Linked DNA regions of Cricetulus griseus. The protein of the gene in region 2 interacts with the protein of the main gene of each other region in a pairwise test. Links are inferred from orthologs where the notes say so. Each region holds a gene or a part of one and is shown on either strand. Other genes may lie near its edges.

The links. The genes of interacting proteins can lie anywhere in the genome.
Region 1: the proteins of Kash5 (region 2) and Gpatch4 interact in binary tests that used the Homo sapiens proteins (3 or more experiments, as listed by UniProt). The two-hybrid records come from large-scale screens. The link is inferred for Cricetulus griseus from reciprocal best matches to the Homo sapiens genes KASH5 and GPATCH4.

The regions. Positions count from the first base shown.
Region 1 is NW_023276806.1:66,418,811-66,425,817, reverse strand, and holds part of Gpatch4 (G patch domain-containing protein 4), read left to right. Parts: intron 1-4,046; exon of another isoform or gene 4,047-4,153; 5' UTR 4,154-4,209; coding exon 4,210-4,288; intron 4,289-4,675; coding exon 4,676-4,749; intron 4,750-4,846; coding exon 4,847-4,939; intron 4,940-5,016; coding exon 5,017-5,103; intron 5,104-6,664; exon of another isoform or gene 6,665-6,961; coding exon 6,962-7,007.
Region 2 is NC_048599.1:154,077,378-154,084,384, forward strand, and holds the end of Kash5 (protein KASH5), read right to left. Parts: intron 5,903-7,007; coding exon 5,825-5,902; intron 5,540-5,824; coding exon 5,483-5,539; intron 5,247-5,482; coding exon 5,187-5,246; intron 4,813-5,186; coding exon 4,748-4,812; intron 4,620-4,747; coding exon 4,532-4,619; intron 4,152-4,531; coding exon 4,053-4,151; intron 2,983-4,052; coding exon 2,927-2,982; intron 1,568-2,926; coding exon 1,516-1,567; intron 550-1,515; coding exon 485-549; intron 405-484; coding exon 288-404; intron 186-287; coding exon 47-185; 3' UTR 32-46; downstream 1-31. UniProt on the Homo sapiens protein: As a component of the LINC (LInker of Nucleoskeleton and Cytoskeleton) complex, involved in the connection between the nuclear lamina and the cytoskeleton.

The DNA of each region.
Region 1 (7,007 bases), on a different chromosome or scaffold from region 2:
GACGGACTGGCCTCCCTCACTCAGATCTGCAGGTCTCTGTTTATTTTGCATCACCATTCAGGGCTGCCGGGACTGTTCTATTACATTTCAAATTTTATTTTTAAGTATACAAGTGTTTTGCCTGCTTGCATGAATGTATATCTGATACATGCCTAATGGCAATAAGAGGGTGTGGGGGGTTGTAAGCTGCATTGTGCTTGCTGGGAACCAAACCCGTTCTCTTCAAGAGCAGCAAGTGCCTAACCATTGAACCATCTCTCCAGACCCCAAAACTGTCGTTTTATACATCATCTCAATAACTTCTGGAATAGCCTTTAGTCATTATTCTGTGCATTAGCTTCATTGCTATGTATAGAACTGCCACAGATTTAGTGACTTAATTCAATAAATAAATAATAACCCTAAAAATAACTTATGTGTATGGGTGTTTTACCTGTTTGTATGTCTGTGTGTCTGCCTGGTTCCCTGAGGAGACCAGACGAGAGTGTCAACCTTTGGAACTGAAGGTTGTGAACCACCATGTGGTTGCTAGGAATCAAACCCAGGTCCTCTGGAAGAGCAGTCAGTTCTCTTAACCACTGAGCCATCTCTCCAGACTCTGGGGCTTTTTGTTGGTTTGGTTTTTTTTCAAATGTGTGGGGGGGGGGCATGCACATTTGTGTGTATGGGTGTGCATGCATATGGAGACCAGAGGTCAACCTTAGGTCTGATTTCTCAGGAATCAACCACCTGTTTTTTCAGGCAGTCTCCATAAAGCCCTGGAGATCTTCCTGTCTCTGTCTCTGTCTCCCAGCACTGGAATTACAAGTACACATCATTGTGCCTGGCTTTTTACGTGGTACTGTTGCTTTTAAAGTCCTGTCTTAAACTCCTGGCCACCTTTTATCTCCTGATATCTTACATTTTGGAGGAGTTATGTTGCCTTGGTGTCTGGTGTTCTTGAGACTTATGCCTCAGGAATTGAGCCATTGGTGGAATTTATTTAGTGGGCTGGAGAAATGGCCAGGGGTTAAGAGTACTTACTGCTCTTCCAAAGGATCTGAGTTAGTTCCCAGCACCCACATGGTGGCTTCCAACCATTTATAATACTAGTTCCAGAGCATCTAATGCCCTCTTCTGGTTTCTAAGGGCATTGTATGCACATGGTACACATATATGCAGGCAAAACACTCATACAACTAAAGTTCAAAAAGAGAATTGTTATTAAAAACATCTTTATTCTGTCAGAAGTGTTTACAATGTCCAAGAGGGCCTAGGCTGTTCTAGTGTTAAGGTATTGTTTTCCTCTGCTAGATCAGGACATCCAGCTTTATCCCATTGCTCCCCTGGAATTAGAATATTGTCTGCACAAACAGTATCAAAGAGTAAGCCTACTATGAAGTACAGTAATAGCCAAGTAAGCATCAGTCATTTTAGGAAGTAATGGAACATTGTGCATAGGGGGAAAAACTTAGGGTGAAACATGTGATTTAGTTCTGGGTTGGCAGAGAAAAAGTAGGGAGGAAATATACAAAGAAGAAATGGTAGGGCAGGGGTTAGGCCCTCCCGTTGAGGTAAACTGAAAAGAGAAAGGTTAAGAAACACAATCATTGCCAAGCGTTGGTGGCACATGCCTTTAATCCCAGCACTCAGGAGGCAGAGGCAGTCGGATCTCTGTGAGTTTGAGACCAGCCTGGTCTACAGAGCAAGTTCCAGGACAGCCTTCAAAGTCACAGAGAAACCCTGTCTCAAAAAATCAAAAAACAAACAAACAAAAAAAGCACAATCATATAACCAAGAACAGTCCCAGCTTTCAGGAGAAGGCCCTGTAGACCTGGCCAGTGTGTGTTCTTTGGGAGAGAGGAGGAGAACAGGACAGAGCAGGCTAAATTAACACCAGGTGTTAGAGAGCAGTGTGTTGTGGGGAAGGGGTGTAAAGAAAAGTATGAAAACAATCTGGCCTTTGGTTGGCTTGCTGATTCAGTGTTGAGTTTGAGTCTCTCTGAGATCCTTCCCAGGTTCCCAGAAGTCAGTCTTTGGGAGCTAGTGTTACAATCATGGTCTGAGCAGCGTCTCACAGGTGGAGTCTCAGGTGCAAGTGCTGGGCCTGCCCTGTGTGATCCCTGCATCATCAGCACACTGCTTGACATGTGTGTTTAAGTTCCCCTGCAGACTCTGGTCCCACCAAGTTTCCACACCAATGACTAATGATTCAAAGACCTTTCCCCGAAGTCTAGAAGCTTCTGAGTCACTTGCTGTGATGCTGTGTGTTTCCCAAGAGTGCAGTCCATAAAAGGGGGCCCTTTTGAAATGGTGTTTACAGCTAGCTGTTCTAGCAGTGCCAGTGAAAGCCTGGCATCTCAGCACCTGCTGAAGTGTTCTTGTGTGAATCTGTCTCACTCTGCTCTTTGAAGTGTCTATTATGGAATTACTGTGGTACAGTGCAGGTCCAAGTCTCTCTCTTAAGCCCTGTCTCCTACAATCTGATGCTGACACTCCTACTAACTAATAGAGAGCTCCCAGATCAGACTCTGGATTTCTGTCTCCTGCTTTATAAAGTTCTCGATTTGCTATTACAGCTAGAAACAGTCAGGTGTCCCCTGAATCTTACATTTATTAAATACCTTTCTCCAGGTTATTCCTTGGGAGACTTGGACAGCCCATGCCTGGATGTCACCTTCTGTTGGACAGAAATTCTGCTCATCGTTCTTAAACTTAATATATAATGTTTAAGAACATTTGCTGAAGTTCTTTGGATACTCTAAAGGGTATTTAATAGACTAAATCTAATGAAAGTTTTGCCATTTAAACTGTCTCTTTGAGAAGCTCCAGATTTACTCTAGTCATCCCCTTAGTCAGCTTTGACAGTGTTCTGCAGCAGGATGGTGGCACACAGCATTGATCCTAGCACTTGGTAGGCAAGCCTGATCTACACAGAGTTTCAGGCTAATGAGAGATCCATAGTCTCAAAACAAAGACAAAAAGTAATTGTCTCCTATGCCCATAACAAATGATCTTAGCACAAACTGATACTGGTAGTCTGCTTTCAGGGTGAGGTGTCATCTTAACCATTTTGGAGGAAACTTTAATACACAAGTTGGGTTCAACAGGAAGTATGTGTGAGTTACTGTAAAGAAAATGCAGTTACTTAGAATCATGCAATTTGGGCTGAACAGGTCTTCAAACTGCCTGAATAGGTCTTCAGTCAAGAAACCCAGGTCCTTTTTTCCTCACTTACAGGATGAGGTTAATCCCTATCAGACAGGATTATCTATGAAGTATAATGAGGTGATTTGACATAATAAATGAGGTGATAGCATGTGACACCCATCTTTGTTTATTTAGTGTTCAGTTAGCATCCCCTTCCTGAGCTGGACAGTTTAAAGGGAAGCTTCTGAAACCTGAACTACACCAGTAATGTGGACGGAATGTTGGTTCCCATACTAAGACAGTACAAATGCTGGAGCACAGGTATAGATGGTAGGCTCTCTTAAGTACCAGTCTGTAGCTCAAGGTAGCAAACACCTCATAGCTTTGTTTTTACAGGGTAATATATTTGGGGAGATCTTACAGACTCTGCAGACAGACTTTCTGGTTTAAATTCCGTGTGTGTGTGTGTGTGTGTGTGTGTGTGTGTGTGTGTGTGTGTGTCTGTGTGTCTGTGTGTGTGTCTGTGTCTGTCTGTCTGTGTCTATCTGTGTGTGTGAGTGTGCAAGGGTATGGAGGGCTGAAGACAGCCCATGGAAGCCAGTTCTCTCCTTCCACTGAGTAAGTCTGTAGATTCAAACTCAGGTCATGGGTTTGGCTGGAAGCATCTTTACCCACTGATCCATCTCTCTGTGGTAGCTTCCTATAGTTTAGGAGTCAAGGCCAGTGAATGGTGCTGGGGAATTGAACCCAGGGCCTCATGCAGGCTAGGCAAGCATTGTACCTACTGAAATAGCCATAGGCACATAGTACCACCCTTTTCTTTTTCACTCACTTAGGGTCTCATAGCATAGGTTGCTGGCTCAGCCTTTCTATATAGTTGTGGATGGTATGAACTTCTGATCCTCTTGCCTCCACAGATGTGTGCTACAGGATGCTGGAGCTTGAAACCTGGGGCTGTAGGTGTATTACCCAGGTGTTCCGCTGTCTAAGCTGCATCTCCAGTCATTTCTTTTCCTATTCAAAGGATGGTGCCACATCTTCACCCCTGGTGAAAACCTGAGGACAGAGCCTCTGCCCACCATGAGTGTCACCCCAGAGGTCAAGAGTCGTGGGATGAAGTTTGCTGAAGAGCAGCTGCTAAAGCATGGATGGACTCAAGGTGTTCTAGGGCCCTTCCATATCCTCCCAACTCCCTCGTTTCCTTTGCCCCATGTCAATTCAACCATAGGAGAAACTAGTTTAAAGAGAAAACCTTAGAAGCATAAATTTCCTGATCTAGCTGGAAAAGGGGAGAATGGATGAAATTCTCATTCTTGGACAATGGAGGATATTGAGGGCAGACTGAAGGAGGAAATACAACAAAAAAAGATCATTCCAGGTCAGACGGAGGCACTTGTGAAGCAGTACGAGAAAGGATGGAGTGACATAGATTTCTGAAGGGTACACAGTATACCAGTGATCAGTGAGAGGAGTGGCAGTTGGCCCAGGAAGTCATGGTGAGGGCTCAGGGCAGGTTACAAAATAAGTCATTCACTGTCCTCTACAGGCAAGGGTCTGGGCCGCAAAGAGAATGGCATCACCCAGGCCCTCAAGGTCACACTGAAGCAAGATACCCATGGGGTAAGCCTGGGGGGGTGGGTCAGCATGAATGTGAAAGGGCACCCATGAGGGCTGGTGGGCGGTGCTCAGACTGTGACTTTCATTTATTATTCTGGAGGTGGGACACGACCCTGCCAAGGAGTTTACAGACCACTGGTGGAGTGATCTCTTCAACAAGACTGCAGCCAGCTTGGTAGTGGACACAGGGAAGGTATGAGCTTGTCAGGTACGTCTGGGATGGGGCAGGGAGGTAGAGCATGTCGCTTCCTCACTGATGCCTTCCAACAGGATGGAGTGCAGATAAGGCGCCTTTCCAAGGAGACCACCCAGCGCAGTCACCCCAAGTCCAATTTGCTGTATCAGAAGTTTGTGAAGGTACCAGAGTGAGAGGTTCAGCTCTTTACTGCTCCCCTATTTCCCCTGGGTCCTGATCGATTGCCTTGTGTGATGAACTAGTTCCCAGGATATCCTAGCATACCCAGATCCCATGTCCAACCTCGCTGTGCTTAGACTAAGGCCCATGCCCCCCTCCAGAATTGAGGTATTAAGGTTCCATGGACCCTGCCATCCGCTGCGGGGCAGCACTGAACAGTAGAGGGAGAGCCATCATTTAGTTAAGAGCTGCTGGGGTGGAAGTGTTGGTGTCTAATTTAAAAAGATTTAGAAGACAGAAGAACCCTGAAGGTTGGTTACTTAATCCATCTTTATTTTACATGTGTGCCCCAAAGTGTAGAAAATGGATTACTGAAGAACCCACAGCTGGCTAGTAAAGACAGAAAGAATAGAACCCAGGCTTCCCAGCTTTTTCACTATAGCTATAGAAAGCCAGAAGTTAGCGAGCATAGACTCTGCTCGGCGCTTCCCAAGTTATCTAGCAACCCTTCCCAGTTTCTGCATCTGTTGGCATTTACTATTTTAGTTCAGGCAGTCTTTGCCTCTAAGATACTCTGCCTCTGGTCTCATTCTGCACCATAGTCAGCTGACTCTGTTCTACAAAACATCCATAGGGTTCTTTCCAAAACACAAATTGTATCATGATCCTTTTTGTTTGTTATTGTTTTTCAAGACAGATTCTCCCTGGTTGCCCTGGAACTCACTCTGTAGACCAAGCTGGCCTCAAACTCAGAGATCCGCCTGCCTCTGCCTCTGGAGTGCTGGGTTTAAAAGTGTGCAATACCACTGTCTGGCTCCTCCCTATTTAATGAGATTGACTTGCATGGCCCTTTATGCTTCTTGTCTTACTCCCACCTGTTCTCTCTGGGGCAGAAGCAGCTCTGTTTCTTCTTCTAGAAGCTGTGTTCTCCCACCTACCCTTTCTCTGCCTTTGCCATTTACCTGCTAACATTTCTTGACTTTCAGATTGAGATTATACATAGCACCTTCTAGAAACCACTGCCCAAACCCTGGCCTGAGTTATCTATGGGACAGGCAACGTTCATCCTAACTGCCCATGTAATTACATCTGGACTGGAAACTTGACCCATCGAATTCTGTGTGTGTGTGTGTGTGTACGTGTACGTGTACACGTGTGCACGCGCATGTATACGTGTTCACATATATGAGCACTTTTGTGTGCAGGTGCTCATACATGTGTATGCATATAGAGGCCAGAGGTTGACATTAGGTATCTTTTTTTGATCTCTACCTTATATACTGAACTAAGATCTCTTACTTGAATCCGCTTGCCAATCTGTATAGTTTAGCACCTAGCTAGCTTGCTCCAGGGACCCCAGGGATTACAGGTGGGTAGCCATGCCTGCCTGACATTTATGTGGGTGCTGGGGATCTGCACTAGGTCCTCATGCTTGCACATTAAGTGTTGTTACCAGGTGAGCTGTCTCCGCACCTGGACCCATTTCATTGCCATTCTACTCTATCCTGAGCTACATGGCCCATAATAGGTTCTGTTAATCTAGTTAAACAAAAATACCAGCAATAGGAGTGCTGTCTCTATTGTCAGTTACTGGCACCTACTCCACTGTGAAAACCTAAAAGTGAAGAACACTTTTCCCTGGTTGTTCTTCAGTCAGCCTGCTGTGAGCCAGAGAAGCCCTGGCTGCTGCACTTCCCAGTAACTGTCCAAATTGAAATATACAGGCTGCATGACTCTGAAGGGAACAGTGGTGAGGGCTGTCAGATTCACCGCTTCGGCCGTGAGTTCCTAGGGGCTTCTGAAAGGGTTGGTAATGGTGTTGGGCTGGCTTTATCCATCTCCATGATCCTTTTCCTCCAGACAGCCACACTGACCTCAGGTGAAGAGAAGCCTGACAGAGAGAGCG
Region 2 (7,007 bases):
GAGGGGGGCACAGTGGTGGTGTGGTATGGGGTCTGCTGGGAGGGGCTCACACTGGCGGGGGCTGTAGGTAGTAGAGCTGCACGTGTGGCCAGGTGGGTGTCGGGGACTGGCTGAGCAGCACGATGGACAGCAGCAGCAGCAGCAGGCCCAAGATGGGTTTGGGGACCAGAAGGTGCTGGCTGACTCTGGAGGGGGAGGCAGGAGAGGCTGAAGGTGGCCCCAGGAAGATTGGTCTCCCCAACAGGTGGCACCCCCCAATCACCCCAGGAGACACCTGAGGGGCACACCTGAGCCCTGGGGAGTGCTGGGGGCACAGGCAGTGCTGGGCCCAGGGCCTCTCCACTGGCACCACATCTCTCACCACAGGCATGAGAGCTTGTTGCACCTCTGGCACATCTTGACAACTGGAAGGCAGATGGGAAGGGCATTATTGCTAGGCCTGGTATGTCCTAAGTCCCTTTCCAGTTCCCATGTGTCCCTTTACCTCTCAGGAGAGCTTCTTGGGGCAAGCTCATGGTGAGGGGTTCCCAGAGGGGTGGAGGGGTCAACCTAGCAGGAAAAAGGACAGAACATATCCATTTACTCAATCTGCACAGAGTTTCTGGTCAGTACCCTGGATGCAGACTACACAGATGAGGCCACATGTCCCTGGTCAGAGATGACAACAGCCCTCCCTTTCACAGGGCTGACTGAATGGGGAAAGGAGGCAGAGCTTGAACAGAGCCCACATGAGAGTCAATAGGGTGAGAGCTTTTGAGCACTGCCCCCTCCCGCTCCCAACTGACTCTGTAGGTTTCTAGCAATGGTTTATAGGTGCCATCGGTCCCTATGCTGGGCACATAGGTTGTGGCTGAGCTGTCTCCCAGTGCCAGTCAGGGCTTCACATGTCCACATCTGCCCCAAATACAATGACCATGGTGATGACAAACCAACTAGCATATCACTCCCAACTGCTAGGTCCTGCACCCATATTGGCTGGCCCAGAATTGAGAGCAGAAAGAAAGAGCTGGACTTCCTCACTGAAGGTGTCTAAGTGTGGCAAGGCAGGTGAGGGCTCCAGAGCCTGCCCTATACTCCTCAGCAGACTCTGGACTCATCTCCCATCAAGTTCCTTTAACTTCCCTTGAGACCTCAAGCTTGTCTCACCACAGACAAGGGTGGAAGAGTCCAGGCCCAAGCAGTTTGGTCACTCACTGAGGCCACCAGTTCTTTGGTGAGTGGGAGTGTGGGAGTTAGTGATGCACTTGGGAGTGTAGCCACCTCTGAAGCTCCAGGCTCAGGATGTGAAGACTGCAGCCTGCATGTATAAGGCTGGGGTCCTGGGGAACATCCTGGCTGCCAACTGCCTCCAGCCCCCCCCCACTCCTACCCCCACTTCTCATTAGCTGCACCAAGGGCCTTGTTATCTCCTGACCAAATGATTTTTCTGTCTGTTCCCAAGGAGTTCAAGCTTCGGGAAGGGGCTGGGATTAGTCCCTCAGCTTCTAGGGCTAGGAAGGGTGCTAGGGTGCCTACCAGGACCCAGCTCGCCTCCTCTTCTTCCTCTTCTTCCTGTCTTCTGGACAACCTAGAGCAAACACCATCACTGACTCCCCACCTCCCTAGTTCTCTCTCCCACTGGAAGATACAGTGGAGCTCAGGGTCTGCTGGCATCTCCTATGCATGCTTCCCAGAAACTGAGCAAAATCAACTCTTGGGAGCCTGTGACCCCAAAAGGCTCAGAAGCCTTGACCTAGGCTTCCTAGCTGTGCCTCAGGCAGAAACAAGGCTCCCTGCTTCCACATACCACAGACTCCAGGGTATGTAGACTCTGGCACCACTGTTGGGGGTATGATGCCATTCTTTAGCCTTAGTCATTCAGGTTTGTTAGAGACTGGGAATACAACTCCCCTCTCTCAGCCCCCAAACCTCACTATTTGGGCTTTCCTGTGTCCAAATCACCTCTCTAGGTATGCTAGCCCATGTTTCCCCAAGCCTATGCTTCAAAGACACAGTTTTGGAGGCCCTGGTATCCATGACAACAGCCTATGCCTGAGGATCAGGGATCTAGCCTTGCAGCTGCCATCAAGCCAGCAGTCTCAAACACAGCTGCTCCCAGCCCAGTCCCACTATACACGGCTGTGTGAACCCCTTACAATTCCCCTGGGTTGTAAGCTGTTGAGTCCCCATCCCCTTGAGGTGGGGCCCCAGTGTTTGTCATCCCCCAAGTCCTCTGCTTCCTAGAGGAAAGTGGGCTGGGTGTCCCACCCTTCCTCCTTCCATCCTGCTGACGTAGGAGGAGGTCACACTGCTCAGAGCACCCAGGCAGTCCAATCTCAGCTCTGCCCAGGCAAGTCCAATTAGAGGTTGTGTAGGGGCCTCATTAGCTGTGACAGCAGTAGTCTGGAGAAGGGGGGCACCACAGGAAGCAGAGGGCGCTGTGACCAGACATCCAGCGCTTTCCATCCTTACTCAAAGCCTGAGTAAGGCCTCAAAACACACCCCCATCAGTCACAGAGCTGGACTCCGGGATCCATGGAGGATCATACCAGCCCCTCATGGAATGGGTACTCAAGACTGGTTTTAGAGCCTGCAGGGTCTTCCATGCCTGGGAGCTCTCAAGGCCCCTATCAGCCTTGTTCCTGAATCTCTGGCTCCCTGTAGGGTAAAAATTGCAAACCCGTACTATCCAGCCTGGTGCTTGGGGTGTCCCCCAAAAGCCCCTAAAAGTCTCCCTGGGTCCAGGTGCCCACCTCTTGTTGGAGTTGCCAGGGTAAGGATATGCTGAGAGCAGGGTCAGGCCCAGAGCTCTGAGCAGCCACAGATTGAAGAATGGAGGAGATGTATGCTGACTCTTTCAGGGTGCCATAGCCCTTATTCTCTAACAGCCAGAGCCCATATCACTTGTGGCTGAGAGAGGGAGGGCTCCATCAACCTACTCCCTTACCTTAGAGATGCTGTTCTTCCTTCTAGAGCATACACTGGCTCTCTCTGGAAGTTTCTCTGCAGAACATCAAAGTTTGGTCTCCTTGACTCTCTCTGAGCTTCTGACCCAGCTCCAGCCAGGCACATTCTGCCTGAGGTCCAGACTGAAGTGGATGGCCACAGGGATACAAGCTTCTGTGCTTTCCGTGGGGCTCCCTCAGCACCCAGGGAAAGCCACATATGCCATGGGTTCTGGTGAGTCTACCTAGCTCCTTTTGAGGACTAGAGATCAATACTTACAGGGTGCCCCCATCTACCAGCCTGTGCCAGGAGGGAGCTCACTACTTTCTCTCCACTTCCTTCTGGGGGTCTCAGGATGTTCCCTGCTCCTCTAAGAGGCCCAGAGCCAGAGATGTGTTCTTTGTGCCTGTGACCTCAGTTACCAACTCCACTAACCTGACACTTGTTATTTTGTTTTGCTCACTGCCTCATGTTGCTTGAGCTGGTATGAGCTCACTAAGTAGCAAAGCATGGCCTTGAACTCCTCCTGCTTCTAATTCCTAGGAGCTGAGACATAGCTGTGTGGCCACCTTGTCCCAAATCAATCTCTCTCTTCCCTCCCTCCTTCCCTCCCTCTCTCTCTCTCTTTTGGGTCTAATTCTATAGCTCAGGCTGGTCTCAAATTCATGGTAAGCCTCCTGTCTTCAGCCTTCCCAGTTCTAGAACTGCAGTGTGAGATCCATCCCAACAGTTTTTAGTAATTGGTGACCTCCAGGTCTGTGCACTTGGCTGCTCTTGTAGCCCTAGATGTTCTCTAAGATGTCTGCCTCCCAAGCGTTATCACTAAGGACATGTGCCACCACTGCCTAGCAGCTTCTCTCAAAGATACTCAATGTATTCCCCAATGTGCACAATTGTAAATAAGGGATCATGACAGGATTTCTCCAGGGCAGCTTGAGTTTGCCCATCCCTTGAGGGCAGGGGTGTGCCCTGTTGGCTGGGGCTGCACCCTTAGCAGGCAGCAGGCTCTCTGATAAGCTCAGGGAGTAGACAACACAGCAATAGGGCTGAGGGGGGTCAATGGGACCCTGAGATCCTTGTGGGGGCCTCTGGACGTACTTCTGTGATTCAGAGACCCCTCTCCTCACCTGTTCCCTAGCAGGATCCTCAGAGGGAAACTCAGCCTCCTCCCACTGCCACACTCCACACAGAGGACTGGAGAGGCCAACACCTGATGCATCCCTCTCCTGGAAACAGAGGCTGCATGTGAACTTGGGAGGCCCAGGGCAAGGTTGGGCCTGAGGCAGGGTAGAGGTGGAAGAGCTGGAGCAAACTGACAGGTGGGATGGTATGGGACAGGAAGGAGGACACTGGTAAAGACACCACAGATTGGTAGGGGATGTTAGGGGACATGGCCACAGGGGGGCTTTTCGGGGCTGGGGTTGAGGCAGAGCAAGCAGGCTGGAGGGGGGCAGATGACTAGGAGGTGATGCTCTGGCAGCAGTGTGTGAGAGCTGGAGTCACCAAGTGCCAAGTACCCAGGCCTCTGGGACTGAGGGTCTGCATAGGGACACATGGAGTTTCTGTCTTGGTGTCCTCCGGAACATTCCATGGAAGCAGAGCCTACCTGCCGGATAGCCTGGATCTCCAAGTCCAGAGATGGGGGCAGTGCCATGATCCAGCCTACTCTTCCTGCCTCAGCCCCTTGCAGTAGCCTGGTCACAGAGGGGAGGCCTATCTTTTGAACCGCATTCTGCAGCCTTCATCCTGTGGCCCGGCCCTCCCCTGCCTCTTTCTTGATCCTCCCCTTCCCTGTCCCCCTCCTGACTATCCAGCCACTCACTCTTCTGGGCCCTCCTGGCTCAGACTCAACTGCTCCTCTAGGTTCGAGATTTCTTGCCTTAGTTCCTGCAAGAAGGCAGAGCATGGGCCCTGGTGGAGCCCCACATACTTTGGACTCCTCTTCCCAGACACAAACTGCCAAGGGGCCAGGATGAAGAAGCAGCGGCAGAAACTCACAAAGACTAAGACAGCACAGAGACCCAGAGCACAAGGCACAGCCAGGGACATGGCAAAAGCAGAGTCAACTCTTCTAAGGTGGCAGACTCTGCTGAGGCAGGGGACAGGAGCCCCCAGAGAGGTGAGTACTGTGGGATACAAAGTGAGGTAGGAAGGGGTGGAGAGTGAAAAGAGAGAGCAGCAGTGGTCTACTGGGGAGGGGAGCAGCAGATGAGACCCCACAAAGGAAGATGGGCATTAGAGGTGCCATGGGCACTCATTACCTGGGTAGTGGTTCTGTACTCCTCTAGACTCTGGGCCAGACTTTCTGCATGGCGGGTACGCTGGGGAACACAGAGCTGGGGTTCAGTCCCCTAAGACAGGAGGCTGCTAAATTGGGAGCTGGCTGAGTTGGGAAAGCTTGGAGAAGAGTTGCTTCCAGACCCTGCAGGCCACACTGACCTGAGAAGGCCTATCTGGGCTGTTTGTCCAGGGCTCAGAGCTGGGTGGGCTCCTGCCACACAAGGCAGGGGCTAGGAAGGCATGCTAAGGGTAGGTCTGTCCCCTCCCTGTCCCTCACCTCTGAGAGGACTGCTTCACGCTGGCAAATGAGTTGTTCGCACTCACAGAGCTGCCGCTGCCGAGGAAGGAGCCTATTTATCTCTTCACCCAGCCTCCCAGCAGCCCCCACATCTCCCTTCAGCCTCCTACTGCCCCTACCAGGTCCTGGCCAGGCCTCCCCTCAGCCTCCAGTGACAGCTATGGCTATCAGCTGCTCTGAAGGGGACTCTAGCTGAGCTGCCTGGGCAGCCCTAAGCCATGTGGACTCTGGCGCAGGACCCTGGTTTCAGCAGCTGCAGTGCTGACTTGGGTGCAGGAGGTGAACGGTTGGTCCTCAGGCCTGGACAAATAAATGCTGCACCTTCAAAGCATCTTTCTCTGTGGCCAGCTCCTCACTCCGCCTCTTCACTCCGTCTCGTTCTGCTAGCAGCTTCCCATTCTGGAGGGAGGATCAGCCTTGCTCACCAGTTGGCGGTGCTAATGCTGTATGCCCTGTATGCACCTCAGTCTTTTCTCCATTCTCCCACCACCCTGCTGGGCCCTCAGCTGGGATTTCTCCACAGCTGGTTTCCCCACTGATTCATGGAGTCCCTGTGAGATAAATAACCCAGTAACTTCCAAGCATTTTGCATGTGAGATTCCATTTCTTTCCCCATTTTTAAAGATACAGGCAACTCAGGCACAGAGGGATGGAGTAATATGATCTGGATCACAAAGCTCTTATTCTAACACAGGCCAGTGAATGTTAATGACCACAGATATTTAGAGCAGAGTCAACTGTAGCTGGCATGTACCAGATGTAAATGTTAAAGATAAATGTTTATAGATACTTAAACTCATGTTCCCTAACATACAAAACTAAAAGTAAGTATAATGAGCCCAGAACACACACACACACACACACACACACACACACACACACACACACACACAGACACACACACACAGACACACACACACACAGACACACACACACACACACACACACACACACACACACACACACACACACACACACACACTCACTCACTCAATATGTAGCTTGGGCTGGCTTTGAGCCTGTGGTCCTCCTGCTTCAGCAGGTATGGGCCATTACACTTAATCCTCATGCCCAGTTGCAATAAATATATTCTGGTTTCTTCTTTTGCCTTCCTGTCTAATTCAGTCATTTTAAATCAGATCTCCCATTTCCCCTGGAACAACACCAGTGTTACCTACTCATGACAACTTATTTCCTTTAGCAAAACCATAACTCAAAATTAGCAACAAAATAGCATGAGCATGGAGACTATGGCTGGCACACAGCAGACTTTACACAAGGCTGGATGCCCCCAGATGTGGACTCCTGTGCTGATATGCACCCACACGTGCTGACATGTGCCACATGTGCCCTTTTCCCTGCCTGCCAGCAGGCAGGCAGGGAGACCCAGGGCTCGCACTGTCCACATTACATTGGCTCTGTAACAGAACGGTGTTGTGGCTGTATAGCCATTAATAGTATCCTTCCTCTCAGCTCTACAAAGGAAACTGAATAGATGCTAAAA